3 linked regions of the Xenopus tropicalis genome follow. The protein of the gene in region 1 binds, or shares a complex with, the protein of each later gene. Links are inferred from orthologs where the notes say so. Each region holds a gene or a part of one and is shown in the gene's direction. Other genes may lie near its edges.

The links.
Region 2: trrap (region 1) and smarca4 share a complex: the UniProt entries of both Homo sapiens proteins name them as parts of the BAF53 complex. The link is inferred for Xenopus tropicalis from reciprocal best matches to the Homo sapiens genes TRRAP and SMARCA4.
Region 3: trrap (region 1) and anp32e share a complex: the UniProt entries of both Homo sapiens proteins name them as parts of the SWR1-like complex. The link is inferred for Xenopus tropicalis from reciprocal best matches to the Homo sapiens genes TRRAP and ANP32E.

What each region holds. Positions count from the first base shown.
Region 1 is NC_030685.2:26,342,142-26,345,935, forward strand, and holds part of trrap (transformation/transcription domain-associated protein), read left to right. Parts: intron 1-499; coding exon 500-625; intron 626-3,794. UniProt on the Homo sapiens protein: Adapter protein, which is found in various multiprotein chromatin complexes with histone acetyltransferase activity (HAT), which gives a specific tag for epigenetic transcription activation.
Region 2 is NC_030679.2:138,920,372-138,924,165, forward strand, and holds part of smarca4 (transcription activator BRG1), read left to right. Parts: intron 1-482; coding exon 483-656; intron 657-856; coding exon 857-1,030; intron 1,031-1,164; coding exon 1,165-1,332; intron 1,333-1,461; coding exon 1,462-1,512; intron 1,513-1,641; coding exon 1,642-1,772; intron 1,773-1,873; coding exon 1,874-1,931; intron 1,932-2,068; coding exon 2,069-2,187; intron 2,188-2,333; coding exon 2,334-2,484; intron 2,485-3,693; coding exon 3,694-3,794. UniProt on the Homo sapiens protein: ATPase involved in transcriptional activation and repression of select genes by chromatin remodeling (alteration of DNA-nucleosome topology).
Region 3 is NC_030684.2:129,175,834-129,179,564, reverse strand, and holds part of anp32e (acidic leucine-rich nuclear phosphoprotein 32 family member E), read left to right. Parts: intron 1-1,619; coding exon 1,620-1,782; intron 1,783-2,445; coding exon 2,446-2,597; intron 2,598-3,596; coding exon 3,597-3,663; intron 3,664-3,731. UniProt on the Homo sapiens protein: Histone chaperone that specifically mediates the genome-wide removal of histone H2A.Z/H2AZ1 from the nucleosome: removes H2A.Z/H2AZ1 from its normal sites of deposition, especially from enhancer and insulator regions.

The sequences.
Region 1 (3,794 bases):
CTGAAAATACCGCCCTACGCCTCCTACTTGTGCCTGCACCCGAATGAATGAGATACGCTCGGGTGCAGGCACATGTCGCCCAAATACGCATAAAAACGCAAGACTTTGCATTCTCTCGTGTTTTTATGCGTATATCGGCTACATGTGCCTGCACCCGAGCGTATTCTATTCATTCGGGTGCAGGCACATGTAGGAGGCGTAGGGCGGAATTTTCAGCAATCGCTTTTCCGCTTGCCGAAAATATCCGCCCTACGCCTCGTCTGGCATTAGCCTAATTTCATGGCCAGCTTAGATTCACTTACCGCTGCTGGGGTCACTAGACATTAGGCTTAGGTTTAAATTATAACACTAAGCCTGAGGTATGGAGAGCATTTATGCTTAAAGGGCCACGCATATTAGGTTTTATAGTGATGTAATTATTTTTTTCCCTATATTTCTGTTAACTCCCTTTTCTTCATCCTTTCCTTAATGTTAATCTTCTTACTCCTATGTATACAAGAACCGCTACTTTGAGAATCCTCCTGTAATTGCTGATAACACAGTTCCTGCTCCGGAAATGGTTGGCATGATTTCTACCATAGTGGTGAAAGTGAATCCAGAACGGGACGACAGTGAAACCAGAACTGTAAGTCTTATGACCGGTGTCATTGGCAGGTGAAGGGATGTATACAGAATAAGGCAGATTGTTATTGGTCATTAATCAAAAATGCTAGAGTGGGTTACCGTCCCCCCCCCCCCCCCCAAATACAGTGACATTTCCTCCTACAGTCAGTAGGAAATCGTTATCACAATGAGCCAGTTCAATAAAATGAAAAACACTGTTTGAGGAGGCCCCAAATTTTAGTTTGGTGAGCTAAACTTTAAGGCAACTTAAATACAAATTTTGGCTGAATACTTGCGTGCACTTGCATGTAAATGTATGCTCTAATGTGCATTGATCGAACGCTGGATATAAAGAGTATTTCTCTTGCAGGTGTCTGTGGGACACAGGGACCATGGGTATAGTAGGTACCAGCAGGAGGCAGGACACTAGAAGAGGAAGAAGAGAACTAACCCCTCCTCCCTGCTACTATACCCCCACGTACTTCCTGCCTAAGCCAGTTTTTTTCTAGTGTCCCACAAGGAGACAGGATCATCCTACTCTTCGAGTCTGTTTTCTTCAGCCAGATTCAATCTGGCAACCGGGGTCGTCCTAGAGGCCTCCAACAGGAGCTACTCTACTTAGGCTTCCCCCTACGTGGGAAAAAGTGAGGACGCTGGGGCACGTAAGTTACAGCCCTGCAGACACCCTGCCTCTGAATACAGAGCGCAGAAGCTGCCCAGCGCCTCCCAGTACTGTGCCTACTATCTGGCATTAAAGCGTGCCTCTCATAGTAGCCCTGCTCCCGGCAGGCTATTCAGCCCAACCAACCCCCTTTCTCTACAGCTCTGCCTTCTCCGTCCTAAGCCAGCCCTCAAGTGCTATCTCTTCCCCTTGCTCCCCTTCCTAGTCTGCCCGGCTCAGCCCTGCCTGCCTGCCTGCCAGCACTGCCTCTGCCTCCAGCCTCTTACCTTCACAAGCGCCGTTCACTGTAGGCCCCATGCGGCTCTTCTGTAGCGTCTATCCTCCATGCGTTCCAGCGATGCGTTCCACTTCCTGCTCGGCGGTGACGTCAGCGATCTTTGCGCCACTTCTCCACTTGGGTGCCCTCTCCTTCTATCCTCCGGATCGCACGGCCACTTCTGCTCCTTCTGAACAACTCCAAGAACAGCAATCCCTGGGCAGAGGCACTGGCACACAGGGCTCACAGGGACCACGGTCTATTTTTTTCTACTACTACTGGCAGGGGTCAGGCGCTGGCTAGAGGGAGAAAGGCATTAAGGGGGTTGGGTCCTTATTGGGGACTGTATGTGTGTATATTTCTAATGCTTCTCTACTGCTTTTATGCATTGCTAAGCACTTAAAGCACCTCTCTCCCAGAGCACATGTAATTTTTCCATATTACCTTCTAGATAGGTGTATTAACACTACACTTTCTCTGGATATTATTTTGGCATGTACTGACCTTATGTACTAGCTCCCCAACAGGCACTGTACTAGCTTTGTACTGACACTGTGTACTAGCTCTGTACTGGCACTACCATACACGGGTCGTTATTCTGTTTACACCCCTTTTTTCTGCATTGGCACCATAACTCTTGTAGTGCTCTGCATTAATATTCGCTTGCTCCTACACTAACTCTTTCAGTCCTATGGCAGAGGGCAATTCAGGGGGCCCCTTTTCCAGGGGGGCTTCCAGCTCCTCCAAGGTCAAATTTCTCGCCTGCGCCAGGTGCTGCAAACGCCTACCTTCCGGCAGAAAGGAACCACTTTGCTCCTCCTGCTCCAAAACTACGGCTGAAACTGCTTCCCAGGCCCAGGACCCTACTCCACCGGTCCAAGCTGCCGAACCTGCGGATGATGCCACTCCTGCAGATGCACACACAGCACAGATACCGACCGCGGCTCCTAGCCAGGACCCTCCATCCTGGGCAGTCTCTCTATCCACGGGCATTCCCAAACTGGCCGCATGTCTGGACAAACTCCTGGACAAGCTAGATCGGGAAGACTCGGACACTCGTCCCAAATCCCTCAAACGTCATGTCCCCATGCATGCCGAGGACTACAGCGACTCAGAATCACCTCAACTATCAGCCGACTGGGACAGACAGTCACTAAGTGAGGGCGAGATATCGGATGATGATGACCTTGCCGACACCGAGGAACCTTCCAGACCTCCATCAGAAGCCGTAGATTCTCTCATCGCGGCAGTAATCTCCTGCCTCGATCTCAAGACCCCAGAGTCTCAGAGCTCAGCACAAACGCTTTTCAAACGCCAGAAAAAGCTACTTTCCATGTTTCCTACTCATGAACAGCTAGACAGCATCATTCAGTCAGAGTGGGATCAGCCAGAGAAGCGCTTTCAAGCCAATAGGAGGTTCCAGCGCTCCTACCCATTCCCTCAGGAAACCCTTCATAAGTGGTCTACGCCACCTTCAGTCGATGCTCCCGTCTCGCGCCTTTCCAAGAACACTGCCCTTCCGGTCCCCGACGCTTCCTCATTCAAGGATTCCATGGACAAAAAGACGGAAGGTTTCCTCAGAGCCGCATTTACAGCGGCCGGAGAAAGTCTGAGACCGGTTTTGGCATCGGCATGGGTATCTCGGGCCATACAATCCTGGTCCGACTCCCTCATGGAGGGAATCAACTCTGGCGCCGCCAGACAAGAATTAGCGACCCTGGCATCCCAGATCAAAGATGCCAATGAATACCTGTGCGAAGCATCCCTGGACGCGGCTCAAGCCATCAGCCGCACATCAGCTCTTTCGGTAGCGGCACGTCGTTCTCTATGGCTTAAACTGTGGTCAGCCGACCTCTCATCCAAAAAGTCTCTAACCTCCATCCCCTTCAAGGGCAAGCTCCTGTTCGGTCCTGAACTGGACAAAATCATCAGCCAGGCTACCGGAGGAAAGAGCACCCTACTCCCACAACCGAAGAACCGTACCTCCTTTCGACGGGGACGCTTCTTTCGTGGAAGGCCATCTAGGACATCATCATCATCATCCAGGGACTACCAATCTCAGTCCTCCAACAAGCCTAGATTTCAGGGCCGTCCAAAATTTTCCTGGCAAAATAAGAAACCCCAAGGCAAGACTTCCAACAAGGCTGCCACAGCATGACTACCTTCCACAACAAAACTTCACCCCGGTAGGAGGCAGACTCCGCCTATTCCGAGACGAGTGGCTTCGCCTCACCGCCGGACCCGTGGGTACAC
Region 2 (3,794 bases), on another chromosome or scaffold:
ATCAGTTAGCTACTGAACTTCCACATTGAAGAGCTGCTGAACAAAGCAGCTAAATAAAACAAAAACCACAAATATAAAGACCAACTGCAAATTGTCTCCGAATAGCATTCTCAACATCATACTAAGTTTATTTTAAGGTGACCAACCCCTTTAAGTGGTAGTTTAACTATAACATTGTGCAGATACATGCTGAGACAACTGCTCTTCACAGTTTCAGCAGTTCCATTCTTTTCCTAGGGTCCAGTTTACCCTAGAGAGAGAAGAGTAATAAAAACTAGCAAAAAAATTGTAGCCCTACTAACTGCCAAGGATAGTAACCACCACTCCCTCCCCCTTTTGGAAGCTGGAAAGGGCAGAAATTATAAAAAGTGACGAATAGGATAATCCATAACATACTGAAAGTTAAAGTTGAACTACCTCTTTAATGTAAGTCTTCTTTATAAGTAAGAGCTGACTTTGTAAATTGGTTTCCTATTGTGCAGCTGCGGCAAGAAGTTGTGGTCTGCATGCGGAGGGACACGGCCCTTGAGACCGCCCTAAACGCAAAGGCCTACAAACGCAGCAAGCGGCAGTCCCTGCGCGAGGCGCGTATCACGGAAAAACTGGAAAAGCAGCAGAAGATTGAGCAGGAGCGCAAGAGGAGACAAAAGCACCAGGTATGGGCAAGAATAATGGCGGTTTTGGCATCAAGCTCAGATAATTCTGAGACTTGGACTTTTATTGCGGGGCTACAACTGTGATTGTAGATGGACCTGACTTGTTGGTGCATCTGGCTCATACAATATGCAGAGTTCCTGTGTGTGCCAGATGCTTCTGTATCTTATGCCAACCCTCTGCCGCTGTTCTCATGTTTTAGGAGTATCTAAACAGCATCCTCCAACATGCCAAGGACTTCAAGGAATTCCATCGCTCAGTCACAGGGAAGATCCAAAAACTGACAAAGGCTGTGGCCACGTACCATGCCAACACCGAGCGAGAGCAGAAGAAGGAGAATGAAAGGATTGAGAAGGAGAGAATGCGCAGGCTCATGGTTAGTACTTGCCCTTTACCCTGGCACAAGAGCTTCATTTAATGGGATATACTGTTGGGGCAACACTGAGTGTATATCTGACTGTGTTTTCCTGTGCATTTATTTTCTTGCTGCAATGTATTTTGTTCTTTTAGGCTGAGGATGAGGAGGGCTACAGAAAGCTGATCGATCAGAAGAAAGACAAGCGTCTGGCCTACCTCCTGCAGCAGACGGACGAGTATGTAGCAAATCTGACGGAACTGGTGCGGCAGCACAAGGCAGTGCAAGCCCTCAAAGAAAAGAAGAGAAGGAAAAAGAAAAAGGTGGGATAATTGCCAGAGATTCCACTTAGCTGTGAAACTTGTTACTGCCCCTATTGGAATGGTGTAGGGGGTCTCCGAGGGAGCAAAGTGAAATCTAGATTGGTGAACAAGTTGTTCGTTTTCTTCCAGGTGCAAGAGATCACAGAAGGCCAGCAATCGGCACTTGGACCTGATGGAGAGGTGGGCAGGGAATATGGAATATAGGCTGGTTTGGAGAGACGTTCCCTTTGCTGTGAGGGTGTAGTGGTGGTAATCCTGTTCCAGGGAAGATTTGACTTTACGTAACTTGTGTACCTGTTTGTATCCTAGCCACTGGATGAGACCAGCCAGATGAGCGACCTCCCAATCAAAGTGATCCATGTGGAAAGCGGAAAGATCTTGACGGGTGCTGATGCGCCAAAGGCTGGGCAGCTGGAGGCATGGCTTGAAATGAACCCTGGGTATGTTTGGGGCTAGGCAAAGGTAACGGTGCTTGAGCTGTGGCAGTTTATTGGGCAGAAAAAACTTCTACCTAAAACCTACTTTACTTTCTCTTGGATAGGTATGAAGTTGCACCACGGTCCGATACCGAGGAGAGTGAATCAGAGGATGAGGAAGAGGTAAGTTGAATTGGAGGACAGGCGGACGGTCAACCTTTTTTTCCTTCCTATTGCCTCCTATGTCCGTCTATGTGGGGCTTTTATGCTTGGCTCTTGAAAACAGTGTTTATTATACCTCTGATACTTTTATGGCTCAGGAAGAAGATGAACAACAGCAGCCTTCAGTCACTTCCCTGCTGGCTGTGGACGAGACTAAAAAAATTGCTGATCCAGACAGCGACGATGTGTCTGAGGTGCATGCACGGGAAATAATAGAGTAAGTATGGGGGGGGCGTCAGGAATTGCATTATATTTATTAAAGCCGCACATACTTGGGCCGAAAGGCTGCCGGTTCTCTTCCAATAACCAAATTGCCAATATGTAACTCAGTAAGTGACAGTGTGCCTGTATGTTTCCTCCCAGTAATGCCCGACAGGATGTGGATGACGAGTACGGTATATCACATGCTGAGACCAGTGGCCTCCAGTCTTACTATGCAGTGGCGCACGCAGTAAGTGAGAAGGTGGACAAGCAGTCAACCCTGTTGGTTAACGGCATCCTGAAACAGTATCAGGTGAGTGGCGCATACGTTGCATCTGGGTTTTCTAGTCTTGGGCATTATAATGCATTGCTGCACTGGAGAAAAATACACCTGTTTAGCCTTGAAAATAGGCATAACTGCTTTCTTGAACCCACCCCCTTGCAGTGATCCCCTGGCTTACCTTGTATTGTCACACGCTTTCTCAAATAACTTCTAGCTAATACTGTGAAACATGTGGGATAAACACCTTCTTCATTTGGTCTTATTAAATCCTGTTATTTGTATAAAATGGGAAGGTTTTTTTGTTTTTTACTTTATTTTGCCTTATTTCTGCAAACATGTGACTGCCTGAAAGCCTAGAGGTATTGTAACTTGTGAGATCAGGGGACACATTGCCGTTCACAGAACATCTGTCCACCATAATACTTCCAATACTAATATCAGTCCAAACTCTTGATTTTTATGTGTCCAACGATCTCTGTTTGACATCATTTTATTATGATCTGGCTTCTAGCAATGTAGTATAGTGCATAACAGTCGCAAAACATGTGAGATGTGTAGGTTGGACCAGCCTGGACTGGCAATCTGTGGGTTCTGGCCAATGCCAGAGGGGCTGCTGTAAGGTGCCATAGACACTCACTATTTATTGGGCTGCTGGGGGGCTGTTTGGGCCTCTGTGTACTGAAAATCAGGCCCGGACTGGCAATCTGTGGGTTCAGGCAAATGCCAGAGGGGCTGCTGTAAGGTGCCATAGACACTCACTATTTATTGGGCTGCTGGGGGGCTGTTTGGGCCTCTGTGTACTGAAAATCAGGCCCGGACTGGCAATCTGTGGGTTCAGGCAAATGCCAGAGGGGCTGCTGTAAGGTGCCATAGACACTCACTATTTATTGGGCTGCTGGGGGGCTGTTTGGGCCTCTGTGTACTGAAAATCAGGCCCGGACTGGCAATCTGTGGGTTCAGGCAAATGCCAGAGGGGCTGCTGTAAGGTGCCATAGACACTCACTATTTATTGGGCTGCTGGGGGGCTGTTTGGATCTCTGTACTTAAAGTACTATGACTAATTTTGAATCCCAGCCCAGACCTGGGTTGGAGGGTAGTACAGTGTGTCTGTATGAGATACAGATTCAGTTAGGAGGAGGGTTCCTTCTGCTTGTTTGATGTACAGACTTGGATAGTGGTTTCAGTCACTTTTATTATATTGGGTCTGTGTTGTTTCATTCACACTCTTTTCCCTCTCAGATTAAGGGCCTGGAGTGGCTGGTCTCCCTGTACAACAATAACTTGAATGGGATCCTTGCCGATGAGATGGGTCTGGGAAAGACTATTCAGACCATTGCTCT
Region 3 (3,731 bases), on another chromosome or scaffold:
TGAAACCCACTTATTGTACAGCGCTGTGGGATATGTTGGCGCTTTATAAATGATAATAATACTATCAATACATATGTTATACCTATACTAAACGTAGATCTTAAAGGGGTGGTTCACCCTAATTTACCTTTTTAGAATGTTACAGAATGGCCAATTCTAAGCGACTTATTTTGGTCTTCATTATTTTTTATAGTTTTTGAACTATTTCCCTTCTAACTATTTGCAGTTTTCGAATGGGGCTCAGCAGCTAAAAAAAACTATTGCTCTGTGAAAGTACAGTTTAAGTGTTAACGTTTTAGTACTTAATTTTTCTATTCACCTATCAGTCTTTCATTCAAACACTCTGGTTGCTAAGGTAATTTGGATCCAAACAGCTGCTGAAACTCTGGAGAGCTGCTGAACAAAAGCTGAAATAACAAAAAAACTACAAACAATAAAAAATGAAGAGCAGTTGCAAGTTGTCTCAGAATATCGCTCTCTACATCATACTAAAAGTTAACTCAAAGGTGAACAACACCTTTAAGATCACAATAGATATTGGTTATTATGCTTGTTCAAGAAGTCATCCAAGCCCCTCTTAAGGGTGATGCCCTACATAATATGGCAGCTCTCTATCGCGGGCAACTAACCGATCCAAAATGCCTTTCCGCCAGCAACAATAGGAGTCGCTGCTGGAAAGGCCTTGGCATCACTTTGGTTTGCTGAAGTTGCACCAAGTTGCCAGCAGGAGGGCACTTTGCATGAATTTGGAAAACTGAAGCACTGTAAAGGCCTATCCGCCAGAGATTAGTATTTGTGCCGGTGGAAAGGCATTTATGAGCGGTTATGTCGCCGCCTAAGCAAAGATTTATTGCAGGCACAGTAATGCCAAAAAAATGTAAAAGTGGTTAAAATATGGGGTATATTTATCATGCTGTGTAAAAAGTGGAGTGAAGCATTACCGGTGATGTTACCCAGGGTAACCATTCAGCAATTAGATTTCAACAGTTGGAAAACCAAAGCAAAGCATCTGATTGGCTGCTATCAGCAACATCACCCGTGATGTTTTACTCCACTTTTTACACAGCATGATAAATATACCCCCAAGTGTACTTCTGCCCTGCACTGGTAAAAGTTGTTTCAGAAAGGCTTCAATAGTTTATATAAACAAAGCTGCTGTGTAGCCAGGGGGCAGCCATTCAAGTTGAATTAGGGCTAAATAGCACTGGTTACATAAAGATAACAGATAAGCTGTGTAGAATCCCATTGTATACTGCAGAGCTTCTGTTCTATGTAACCTGTCTCTCTTCTCCTTTTTCTGCTTTGAATAGCTGCTCCCTTGGATACACAACAGCTTTGTTTATATAAACTATAATAATGTTTCTGAAGCAAATAGTTTTTACCAGTGCAGGGTAACATTATATTGTCATTTAATTTAAAACACTTTTTTCTGCAACCAACAGGTTATTCCCACTTTATTCTCCTAAACTAGCATTCTATTGATTCCTAATTGTATTGCATTGTTTGCTTATCTGCTCCATCATGGCGCACCATTGCATTAATCCACCCATTCATTCTCAGGCTGTAAGTATTCAGCTCCGTGAATTTATGCTTAAGGCAACATCTTATTTTGATTTCAGGCCAACTTAAAAAATTTAAAGAGCTTGGACCTGTTTAACTGTGAGATCACAAACCTAGAAGATTACAGAGAAAACATCTTTCAGCGGCTTTCCCAAATTACATACCTGGATGGGTTTGATCAGGAGGATAACGAAGCCCCAGACTCGGAAGAGGATGATGATGGTAAATATCCTGTTTGTTTTATATCTATAACCTGCATACATTCTTCTTTAATAGTTTGACATGTATCCATAGGCTAAGCTAGGCCTGAATAATTCTCTAAACACGGTAATCATGGCCCACAGAATACATGATTCTGGCTTCTAACTGATTTGTCCAATGGGTAACCAAAGCTAATTATACGGGCTTTGGTCACATGTTAGTATATTTCCTTCAAAAGCCAGAATGTGGGACCATTATTGCTGTATATAAAAATCCGGAATATAGGTGCAATTTATACCCTCTAATGGCCAAAGAGGGGAACAGTGGCTAAATATAAATCTGCACGAAAGCATAAAAGCTAAAAGATATGAACTTTATTGCTCCATTAAAATAAACCCCATGTACAAAGCCTAACGCGTTTTATGCTTACCAAGCACTTAATCATAGGCTTGAGTTTAAAGTTTAGAGAGCACACAGGCATTCAGGGTCGGACTGGGGGGTGTGCAGGGCCCACTGGGGCTTGCTAGGTTTTTTCTGGTGTCGCATCGGCCCAGTCCGACCCTGCAGGCATTGAACATAAAGTAAGACACTGATTCATCTAACTAGATTTAAAATACAGTCCTCACCCCTTTGCACAGTGCTGTGCCATCGACCTTTTCCATTACATGCATTTTGCATACACAGATGATGAGTATGAGTATGATGATGAAGAACCAGGACCACGGGGTTACGAGGAAGATGAGGATGAAGAAGGTGCCTCAGATTTAGGAGACGAAGAGGAGGAGGAGGAGGAGGAAGAAGTTGGGCTGTCGTATTTAATGAAAGAAGAGATTCGTGTAAGTATTCAGATCTGCATATAAATCATAGGTTATTGGGAATATATTTTTTTAGCACGCTTCTTTGCCAGGTAGATGGCCAGGACCAGGGCCGGAACTAGGGGTAGGCAGAAGAGGCAGCTGCCTAGGGCGCAACGATTGGGGGGCACCTTGCAGGACCTTCTCCTGCCTACCCCTAGTCTGCTCTCTTAGTCATTGGCCCGCCGCTTGTCATGCGGTGGGAGCAATGATCGATCGCGTCGCAAACCCCGCCCCCCTCAACTGCGCATGCGCGAAAGCACACGGGGGCGAGGTGGCTGACCCGTGTTGCCTAGGGCGCCCGGTCGGCTTGGCCCGCCCCTGGGCAGGACACAGTAATATAAAGTTTGTGGAGGTGATCAAGTGCACCGCAAACAATGACTGACTGTTAAATTGCATTATGTTGTCATTTTTGCAAAACTTTTATCCAAAATGAATAAAGCTGGGGTTACGTGTAAATTTGGTAATATGGGCAATGGGCCAAACATACAGGCAATAGGCAACATTACCTTGCTTAGCTCCTTATACAGTATCTGGCCTGTGGGCCAATAGGTCAGTCCCATTCCGGGTTTTTTTGTTTTTTTTTTTGTTCTTAATCTATCTTAAAGCTTAACTTAAAGCTTTTCTAGTGGGCTAGAAATACTACACCTTAGCTTTTGGGGTTCCAAAAACAAGTCCCAAGGCAGGAAGATAGATGCCCCCAGTAGCTCCCCATCTTTTCACTGTCTGACCTGAGCTCATAGCACACTGAGCATGTGCAGTGCCCCTGACACCTGGATCGTTACCACTGTAGAGATGCAGAACCTTTAGGCTGGTGCAGTAAGTTCATTATATTAAATATGGCATTTTTAGCCATATTCATTTTTAGGGTTTAGTTTTCCTTTAATGGCAGCATCTACAAATGCCCTCACTGATTTGCCATTAGATTAGTGAATATGCAACACTTAGAGGTGCAAATAATAATTGTTCTTGTCTTATTAGGATGAGGAGGATGATGACGATTACGTTGAAGATGGTGCCGAAGGGGAGGAAGAGGAGGAGGAAGATGGTATGTTCTTGGTGATACTATTGTATATCTGCAAAAAAAGCTGTAATTCTGATTTGTTTGCCCCCTAT